Linked DNA regions of Caenorhabditis elegans. The protein of the gene in region 2 purifies or fractionates together with the protein of the main gene of each other region. This does not show direct contact. Each region holds a gene or a part of one and is shown on either strand. Other genes may lie near its edges. The genes, in order: cox-4 and T26C12.1.

What was found.
Region 1: the proteins of T26C12.1 (region 2) and cox-4 fractionate together in Caenorhabditis elegans (co-fractionation; one large-scale study listed by BioGRID). This does not show direct contact.

Annotation. Positions count from the first base shown.
Region 1 is NC_003279.8:13,657,639-13,660,979, forward strand, and holds cox-4 (Cytochrome c oxidase subunit 4), read right to left. Parts: upstream 1,491-3,341; 5' UTR 1,474-1,490; coding exon 1,342-1,473; intron 1,291-1,341; coding exon 1,161-1,290; intron 1,110-1,160; coding exon 844-1,109; 3' UTR 533-843; downstream 1-532. Other genes in the region: sac-2 (SAC domain-containing protein), read left to right, coding at 1-164, 211-501.
Region 2 is NC_003282.8:3,256,752-3,264,054, reverse strand, and holds T26C12.1 (2-hydroxyacyl-CoA lyase 2), read right to left. Parts: upstream 5,146-7,303; 5' UTR 5,135-5,145; coding exon 4,988-5,134; intron 4,737-4,987; coding exon 4,578-4,736; intron 3,514-4,577; coding exon 2,186-3,513; intron 1,956-2,185; coding exon 1,856-1,955; intron 943-1,855; coding exon 754-942; 3' UTR 562-753; downstream 1-561. Other genes in the region: T26C12.2 (DUF2085 domain-containing protein), read left to right, coding at 98-204. UniProt on the Caenorhabditis elegans protein: Endoplasmic reticulum 2-OH acyl-CoA lyase involved in the cleavage (C1 removal) reaction in the fatty acid alpha-oxydation in a thiamine pyrophosphate (TPP)-dependent manner.

The DNA.
Region 1 (3,341 bases), on a different chromosome or scaffold from region 2:
TTTGGAGGCCATCTACTGTTCGGTTATTTAATAATACTGCAATCCGTCTGAAATCCTTGGAAGAAGCCAATGAGTATATTTCGTCGGTCGCTGAGCAGATTCAGGTTGGCAGGAATATGCTGACTGGCGCTGAAGGTTCAGTTGTTCCGGTGGCAAAGATTACGGTTTGGGTGGCTTGAGATTTTCAAAATCTAGAATTAGAAGTTTCAGATCCCTCAAATGTCGGTTCATAGAAAATCGATGGCTGCGATGGGTGCACTGTTCGGGAAGATCAAGCGAGTTGGGAAGCCATCCAGTCTATCGAAAAGTGCTTCCACAATTTCAACTGCTCAACTTCCAGAAACCGATGGAAACGAATCGGACGCATCGCAAAAATCGGATCACTTAATGACGAAAATCCTGAAAATGTCACAATTTAAATCAGATTCTCCCCAACCCGAACCATTTTCCTCGCTACTACCCGCTATCTCCGAGTGTCAAACTAAAATTTCACTTTTGTAAAGAAATAAATAAATTATTGCCTCCTGGATTTAACAGCAACATTCAATCTATTTATTTCTGGTTTACAGGGCAGCCCATCTCTCAAGAAGCCGAACCACTTGGAAAATTTGAAGAAAAAATTGGGGGAGACGAAAGAATTGGTCAGTGCGTTCGACCGCTAGGAGAGATTTACAGCTTATCTAGGTTTCAGATGAGGGTTGGGGCGATGAAGAAGAAGGTAAGCTTGAATGTTTGACGAGAGAGTGATGGGGCGGGGGGAGCGACGACAACCAAGAGAGAATTATAAAAACGAGAAAGAAGCTACAAAAAAATTTTATTTTATTTCTGCTGAATCTCTATATTTTACTTCCACTTCTTGTTCTCGTAATCGTAGTGTGTCGGTGCACCGAGGAATTGTCCCTTCTCGAGCACAAGCGCACGCTCAACCTGAGCCTCCTTGTACTCGTTCTGGAAGGTTGGCGGCAGTTCTGGGTACACGCAGACGTTGAGAAGAACAGCATAATAGGTGCAAAGTCCGAGCACGGAGAGGATAACGGCGGAGATCACCTTCCAGTATCCGGTTGGAGCCTCGAATTCGGACAGCGTTTGACGGAAGCTGTAGCGGTACACTGAAAACTTAGCAACATTTTCAAGTTTGTCGAGGAAAATTGAATACTAACAGAGCTTCTTCTCCTCAGCAGACAAGTTCTTCCAGTCGGCTTGCTCCTTGGCGCGAATTGGGGCAATCACACTGTCCTCCTTGCGGAATCGAATAGCTGGATACCAGTAGTCGAGACGATCTTGGTAGATCTGAAAAATAAATTAATTAAATTTAAAATTTATAAAATAAACAAGGCGTACGTTATCTCCATTTGCTCCGTATCCGACGAGCTCGCGTCCAGCGGCCTTATCGGGTCCCCAGTAGAATTCCTGTCCTCCGGACAGACGGGCGGTGGTGTGCACTGCGCGGAGAGCCAAACGTGGCAGCATCATTTGACGAGCCAACATACCTGAAATAAATAACTGGTTTATGGGTTGAAAATGCAGGAAAAACCAAAAAACAAAAGGTAAATCCGGCGTCAGTGTGGAGAAATGAAAAAAACATACTCAAATGAACTATTTTCATAATAAAAATGAATTTCTAAAGTAATTTCTAAAGTGGCCGACGGAAAACACCGATGGAAACGTGGAAGAGGATAGTTTTAGTCAGAAACGAACAAACAACAGAACACACGGGTGCAATATATTAATAATCAAAAACCGTTCTCTCTTCGTGTTTTAAGGATTAAACTAGCCGGAATACGAACAAACGATGGAAATATGTGGTTCCTTTTAATTTTTGCATAAAACTTGGCAAAATCTCCAGAAAAATCAATAAATTGGCAATGTAACAACGGCTCGCCGTTGCGGGCTGTTCACTCCGTAAATCGTGTTGACTGAGTAATCAACGTTTTACACGCGTTCAAGTACGCAGCCAATTGAGTCCAATAGAGCGCTCTTGCTTTTTGAATCTTTTGGGTGAAAAATTGAGAAAAACTTTTTATAAAAAAATTTATAAGCTCAGGCTTTGGATTTTCGCTTTTTGCGTCGAAAAATCGCCTCTACGGTGCTGGAATTAATAATCGGTGGGATTTTCGCAGGAAATTCTCTGGAAAAATCGATAAATTGGCGATTTTGGCCCAAAAACTCTGAAAAACGCTGGATTTTTCTGAAAAAGGGCTTTAAATTTGTCAAGATGAGCGGAAGAATCTGAAAAATCGATTAAAAAACTCAAGAAACTGGAAAAAAATCGAAAAAATCAGTTTTATTGCGTTTTTAAATGAGTTTTCCCAAAAAAATTGGAAAAAATACGATTTTTCATTGAAAAATTGAATAAAAATACAAAAATTAGGGGGTTTCTCATTATTTTTCCGAAAAATCGATAAAACGTTGCCAAAAAGCTTCAAAAAGCAGATTTTTAGCAGTTTTTCACTGAAAATCCTCAAAAATCCCGACTTTTCCGAGAAAAAACAACGAAAATTCGATAATTTCTTCCCAAAACCCTTTTTTTCTAATTTCTCACAGAAAATTCTCAAAATTTAAAAATCTACCTATTTTAAACAATTTTTCTGAAAAATTTGAGAAATTTCATGTTTTTCGCCAAAAAAAAGCCATTTTTTTACGAAAAAGTGCTCTAAAAAATCGATTTTTCAGCGAAAAATCAAAAAAAAAACAGCTGTTTTTATTGATTTTTTTTCCCTAATAATTGTAAAAAATACCAAAAAACCCTCAAAAATCACGAATTTAGCTTCCAGATCGGTGGCCAATTGACGAATATCAACAAATATCAGGATTATTATATATCCGCAAAGAAAATCAATATTCCCGGCGACGAAATTCTCGAGATTTCGTCCGGTAGAGCGCACTCGCTGATTCGAACCAATTTGGGCGTTTTTGCGATTGGTGATAATAATTTTGGGCAATGTGGACGGAATCCTGAGAATATGGATTATGTTGTGGGCTCTGAAGGTACAATATTTGGGATTTTTAGCTAAAACTAAGGCTTTTAGGCTTTTAGAGCAGCTTTTAGACCCCAAAAAAGCTGAAAATCGAGCTCAGCGTAGTTTTTTACCCCAACACTGCAACTTTTTCCTCACGAGGGACGAGGAAAAGTGGTTTCTAGGCCATGGCCGAGGGGCCGACAAGTTTCAGCGGCCATTTATCTTGCTTTTTTTCCGCGTGTTTTCTTTCGTTTTTCACAGCTTTTTCCCGTTTTTTCTTAATAAAACTGATAAATAAATATTTTTTGCAGATGCTAAAACAATTTCCAAGTAAAAAAATCATGTATTCAGTGGGCAAGCAGCGGTGAAAGTGGGCATTGT
Region 2 (7,303 bases):
ACACGTAGATCAAACCGACATGGGACACTGTACCTATAGGAGCTTTAAATCTAACATATTTGCTCATTTTATATTGAAAAAAATCAATAAATTTCAGTGGATGAGCACGCTCTTCATATTACTCGAAACTTCGTCGCCGCTCTCCAATATCACATTGCAAACCGCAACGAATACCTGGCAGCAATTTCCGAAAAAATCGAATAATAATTTTTTTTTCTTCCGTAATTCTACCCTGGCTGAGCCAAAATGAGCTAACTCCTACATTTCAGCGAATAAAAGACAAAAAAAATAATTCCACAGTTTATATTAAATTTAAAAATGAGATTATCCAAACTCGCCCTAACGCAACCACGAATGGTGGACTCCTCTCGGACACTAAACCTTTGTCATTGCTAAAATTACTCAACGCAAGTTTTTGGACCTCGAAGTCGAAAAAAAAAACTGAATTCAAATAATTTCAGATTCCCATTTCAAGTGTTCAGATTCAGGTTGAATTGTGCTGCTATGATTTTTTGTTTCTAGGCTGAAAAACGTTTTTTCGTGTTGAAGTCTGAGACTGATATTTGGAATTGCTAACGCAACCAGATTTATTGAGTAAAAAAAACTAGAAAACCGTACATTTATATATGAAAAACAAAAAGAAAGAGAGAAAAATCGGAAAAAAAAACATATTTCAAAGGAGGAATGATGAGTTTGGGACATAAACGAGGATCATTGAGCGCAAAAAAAAAGAGAAAAAATTCGGCGGCACAGCTACACAGAAATTGATCCCTCTCTGAAATCAGTCTTTCCAATGAGCACATTAACGAGAGCCGATTGTTCTCCTGATCGGCAGACAGCGAGAGCTTCATCAAGGATCTTTCGAGCCGAATCGGCGTTCGATTCATCGATGGTCTCTCCCCAGGATCCGAGTGATTTGGCGACGTTGTCGTAGCGAGTTCTCTGCAAATTTGGGGATTTTTTTTTAATTCCAAAAAAATTGGAAAATTTCCAAAAAAAAAAAGATTTGTTGACTTTGAAAAAACATCAACTTGTCGATTTACGCAGCTCGTGTACTCCTCGTGGAGAAGACTTTTTTGTTGTAATTTTCGTTGTCCAGTAGAGAAATGACAAAAACATTTATTATACGGGAACACAAAATTCTGATAATGCGTATTGTGCAACATATTTGACGCGCAAAATATCTCGTAGCGAAAACTACAGTAATTCTTTGAATGACTACTGTAGCGCTTGTGTCGATTTACGGGCTCTATTTGCGCAATAAATTTGAATTATACCATTTATCGATGGAAAATTAAAAAAATTAAGAAAATGGCATATCGCTGCCGCTATTCGAAAATAAATTAATTTCAAAAATGGAGCCCGTAAATCGACACCAGCGCTACAGTAGTAATTTAAAAAATTACTGTAGTTTTCGCTACGAGATATTTTGCGCGTCACATATGTTGTGCAATACGCAATCTCAGTATTTTGAGTTCTCGTAATAATTTTTGAATATTAAAAAATCGATATTTTCCGTTTTTTTGTTTAAGTTTCTGATTTCAAAAATTAAAAATTGGTTTTTTTTCTCGAAAAATTTCAAATTTTTCAAAAAAAATTTTTTTTGATAATTTTAGGTTTGTGTTTTTTTCAATTAAAAATAAATCGAATTTTTAATTTTTTTTTGATCGAATTTTTCGAAAAATTAAATATTTATTTTTTTTTTCAATTTTCTTTAAAAAATTGTGTTTTTCGTACAATCGAAGTTTTTAAGAAATTCAATTCTTAAAAGAAAATTTTTGAAAAAATCGATTTTTTTCCATTTTCAAAATTTCGATTTTTTTTTCGATTTTTTAAAGCAAATTCGAAGACTTACAGCCAAATCAACAGCCACAGAGCTCTGGAACATTGGCACTTGTTCTCTGGCGATTTGTGTCCAGCACGCGTCATTTCCAACAATTCCGATAACTGGCAATCTGGAAAAAAAAATCGATTTTAAAAAATTCAGAAAAACGGAAAAAAAATCGTTTAAAAACGCGAATTCCTACCAAAATAAGAGCTCCGAGCAATAAACGACTTCAAACTCCGCCCACCACTTCGTCTGATTGGTTGGAAAGTGGGCGGAGCGAATCGCTGATTGGTCACAGTTATTCATTTTGGGGGGAGTTTAAACAAAATCGAGTTTTTTTCCAGCTATAAAACTCACTTGTGTCTAGCAAAAGTGTCATATTCCATCAACGAATATCCGCAGGATCCGTCTCCCCAAATAATGTACACCGGACGCTTCGGATAGACAGTCTTGGCTCCAAGAGCAAAACCTCCACCGACTCCAAGTGTTCCGAATGCTCCAGGATCGAGCCATTGAAGTGGTCCTCGTGGGCGAACAATGTAGGCAGCCGAACCGACAAAGTCACCTCCATCGGCCACAAGGATCGCATCGTCGGGAAGTGATTGATCGAGAGTTCTCAGGAAATTCAGCGGATTCAAGAAGCCATTCGTGAGCTTTTGCTCCATTTTCTTTGCATTCGCCGACTCCTTCTCATCGTCCTTTTCTCTCAGCGATTTCACCCATTCTGTAGGCGTAGTAGTGTGATTGGCTCCAAGAGCATTGGCCACTTGGACCAGTGATGTCGCCACGTCGGCTTGAACAGAAACATCCGAATTCCAGAAAGCCTTCTCGTTTTTCGTAAGCTGACTGGAATTTCTATTGAGTGCTACAATTTTCGACTTCTTCGACAGAGTTCGGCCATAGCTCAAACGGAAATCGCAAACTGTTCCAGCCAAAATGGTCAAGTCCGCGTCTTTAAGCGCATCTCTTCTCACTTGACGCATCTGAAGTGGATGATCTTTGCCAAGAAGACCACGAGCCATTCCACCGAGGAAGACTGGGCAGCCGAGAGCTTCGACGGCTTTAACGAGGTCAGCCGGCTTAACTGGAGGCAGTGTTGCCTGGCTTCCAATGAGAAGAACCGGGCGTTTCGCCGACTTGACGAGTTGAACGATTTCCTGGATTTTTTCACTTTTCGGCATTGGAATGTTCGTTGGGAGTGGAGTGATCGTCTGTGGAGCCCATGCGTTTCCGAATTGACGAGACACGTGGCAACGGAGATAGAAGTTGAGCGCCCGTTGGATGAATCCCTTGGCATTTGGATTGAAGCCAATCTCCTTGACAACAAGCTCATACGGATAGAGAACATCAACTGGAAACTCGACGAACACTGGTCCTGGGCATCCGGATTTGGCGGCCTTGATAGCCTCGCGAACAGTTGGAACAATGTCGCGGAGACGTTCGACACGGGCCACATATTTACAGAGTGGACGGAAGAGGACCATTTGATCAATGTCCTGAAGAGCACCTCTACCCTTCAGTAGGGTTGGTGCGGCTCCTCCGATGAGCAACAATGGGCTCTCGGCCATTTGGGCATTCTTGACGGCTGTGATGGTGTTGGTGAGTCCCGGTCCAGCGGTGACTGCGGCCACTCCAATTGATTGACGAAGACGAGCGACTGCGTCGGCGGCAAAGACTGCGGTGACCTGGAAAATGGAAATATTGTTGCATTTTTTTGAAATGAAGGTGCAAACGCGCTCCACGGCTATTTGAAAACGGTCCGCCTCCAAACGTTGGGTCTCGCTATTACGTGAACACAAAATTCTGAGTCGGCGTATTGCGCAACATATTTTACGCGCAAAATATCTCGAGGCGAAAACTACAGTAATTCTTTAAATGACTACGGTAGCACTGGTGTCGATTGATTTAAACAATTTTTTATTTTTTATTCATTTCAAAAATCGAGCTCGTAAATCGACACAAGCGCTACAGTAGCCATTTAAAGAACTACTGTAGTTTTCGCTACAAGATATTTTCGCATGTTTCCGTTGTTTTTATTGATTTTTATGCCGAAATTTATAAACAAATCAACTTTACATGAATTTTCTACATATCAATTCGACGTAAAAATCATTAAAAACAACGATATTTTTTTAAGGCGAAAAATATTAGCTAAACCAATTGAAACATTTGAATTTACGGTTTTGCCGCTAATACCTAACGAGACCCAACTGTGGGAGCACGGATTTCTGGCTTCCCACGTGGTGTCAAAGTGCCTCATTTTGGTTTGATCTCCGAGAAATGCGCGGAGAAGAGACGCAGACTTTTCAACTGATTTCGCATGGTTAAGAGCGTGCCGAAGTCAAATTTTTCTGGGGAAAAATTCCCGCATTTTTTGTAGATCAAATCGCAAAGAGACATCCTGACACCACGTGGCTTCCCTCATAAATTGAAATGGAAGAGTTTGGCGAACTAGGCCATTTTGGCTCGGCCATATCTGGGGTAGATTTACGGCGCGTTGCGTGTCGCGTCACGGCTCGATTTTAGTTGTAAAACTAAATGTATTTGTCCGTGTGGAGTACACGACACTTCCCCACGCGTTTTCCGGCAGCCAATGGAGCGCGAAAAATTCAATGAGGAAGGACAGAACCCCGTTCTCGTGGCTTTGGAGCGCGATTGCATTTTTATTTCAAAATGCACATTTTTCTCAATAGAGCGCGTTTTGCACGCTCATTTCTCTCTCTCTCGTTTTTTCGGCCAATTCCTGTACCTCATGTCTAGTATCGACAATCTTGATTCCGAGCTTCTCGGCGGCGACAAGAATCGGCGAAATGTGACCTCCACAGAGCACAAAGATTTCTTCGACATCGTGAGCCTTGAGCACAGAAGCCACGAGCTCCCCTCCGTGGCGTTTCGACTTTTCGTCCACCTGAAAAAAAAAAGATTTCACCGTTTAACATTTAATTTTGACATCTATTTATGTGATTTTCAGAGACTCCGAAATGAAATCATGGCTTTATGTCCTACGCGATCTTAATAATTCAAAGGTGGTTCTTCACCTGTCTCAAGCACAACAGAGACTTCCTCGATAACTCAAAAGTTGCTAGAAAAATCATTTTCACATATTTCTGGACGAAATTACTGGAAAACGGGCTGTGCTGAAATTTATTTTATTTTCACCTGGAACGCATTTGACAACACATGTTGCCCGTTTCCGCTGCCAAGAAGCTTCACCATGCTCGTGAGCTCATCGGTGCTCCGGACATCTAGCCATTTCCAGAGAAGAAGGCCAATGATGATGGCAGCGATTATGAGGAATAGTACCATGGTTTACCCGGCTGAATATTAACATCAATTAAATGAAATGAAATATGAATTAACAATAAGTTATTATGTAGAAGAACAAAAAGTTTGCAAAAGCGGCAAGTGTTTTATTTGTGATATGTTGTATGCTGGTGGGTGAGCGATGGCGGTGATAAGAAAAAAAAAAGAGAAAAAATGGAGAAAATATAGATGCATGATCAAAAAAGAATAGACTCTGTTGTCCGAGGTATTCTTTGATAGAATGGTGTGATAAGGGGCGAAGGGTAAAGTCCGAATCAGCGAACCTGTATGAAAATAGGTAGGTGTAGCCTCTGCTACAGATAGATAGGCGGATAGGCACGTGGGTAGGCAACCAGGTTTTATGTAGGCACAAAGTCGCTAGCCTCTTTACCTGCCTACACACCTTTCTGCCTACGTGGCACATTGGTAGGCAAGAGGGCATGATGTAGCAGTGGAGATGGACTGCCACGAAAAGCTAAGGTAGGCGCGTAGGTACGCACGTAGGCAGCCATGATTTGACGAGTATGCAAATAGGTATGAGTAGCTTTCTACGCCTGTCGATATTTCTGTTTAAATACAGCATGCCCACATGCCTACCCACGTTCGTATCGCATGCCTACGCCTGTATGTCTGCCTAACTTTGTGCCTACACTGTGCGCACATGGATGCCTAAGTAGGTAAGGATAGCAGGCATGTCCTAACAACGTAGGCATGAGACCGTAAGACATGCAAGTAGGTAGGCGTAAGCATGTAGCTATATACGTCTGCCGTCGCTACTGCCTGCCTACATGCCTGCCTGACTATCTACATGTCTGCCGTTTGCAGTTGTGCCTACGTGGCGGCCTACCTATGTGCCTACGCTATGCCTACGTATCTAGTTTGCCACCCCAATATATGAGTGCCAGGTATTCCAAAGAATCTTAGTTCAAAAACATATATACATTTTTGTTCGCAAAAAATTCTCCCGTTTCAAACATTTTCCAATTTCAACTGGTCAAATAGAGCATCGTATCAATAGGTCCGCTCGTGTCTCCCGGCAGGGGTGTGTCAATTGAACAATGGATGATTCCGTAAAAAATGGGGGGAAGGGAAAATTTTTTTTTTTGAGAAAATGATGGTTGAACTGGAAGGGGGGGGGGGGGGGAGAAAAGCGATCGTTTCATTTTTTATTCTGGTTTCATACATCGATGACTAATCACCAGCTCCTCGCGCTTTTTCATCATTTCAGCAACTTTTCTCATTCTAGCACAGTTTTCCAAACTTTTTTATTTCTCTTTTATCAAACTTTTCGTCTTAGAAGCTTGACACGTGGTCCCATTACGGTTTGATCTACAAAAAAATGCGGGAATTTTTTGCCCAAAAAATGTAACTCTTAACCATGTGAAATCAGTTGAGAACTCTGCTCCCGCCTTATTTGTAGATCTACGTAGATCAAGCCGAAATGAGACAATCTGATATCGCGTGGCTTGAAACGGGCCTGAGAAGTATTCAAAAATGCGCTTCCAGTTCACATTGCTTCTCTAGAACCTAACTTTTTGTATGAATCTCCTATATAAAAGGTCTTCTTTCAAATTCCATAGCTCTATGTCTAAGGTGTCTAAGACCTGCTGAATACCCTTCTAATTGCATCACACACACTTTATACACCTTTCAAAAAACAAGCTGATGAGTTTCATTTTTGCTCTTCTGAACGCTTGACAGCATGACATAATAATTCGTCGAGAAAAAAAAAGATTGCCGGAGAGAACAAAAATATGTAGTGTATCGAAGGAATACAGCTACGAATCTCGCGGAATACGACTTGTCGTATACGTATACATACACACACACACACACACACACGAAGAAAAATGTTCAAAATGAGCGGAGAGATGAGAGAAGAGAAAGATATTGTTCCCGGCGGGATGGTGTCCTCATTCTGCAGCTGTCAATTGTTGTCACCCGTGTAATTTGCGCAAAAGTGTTGATTGCCAAGAATACTGATACGAGAGAAAACCGATCGAGTGTCGATTTACGCAGCTAGAATCTAAAATGGTTGATTTCGGAATCACAAAATTATCGGGTAAAACTTCCTCCTTTTCTCATATAGGAGTGCACAAGGTGCACGACCATTGCTTCATTGTTGAAATTGAAGGAGGCTGGGAACCCGGACATGGTGTCAGGCTGACCCAT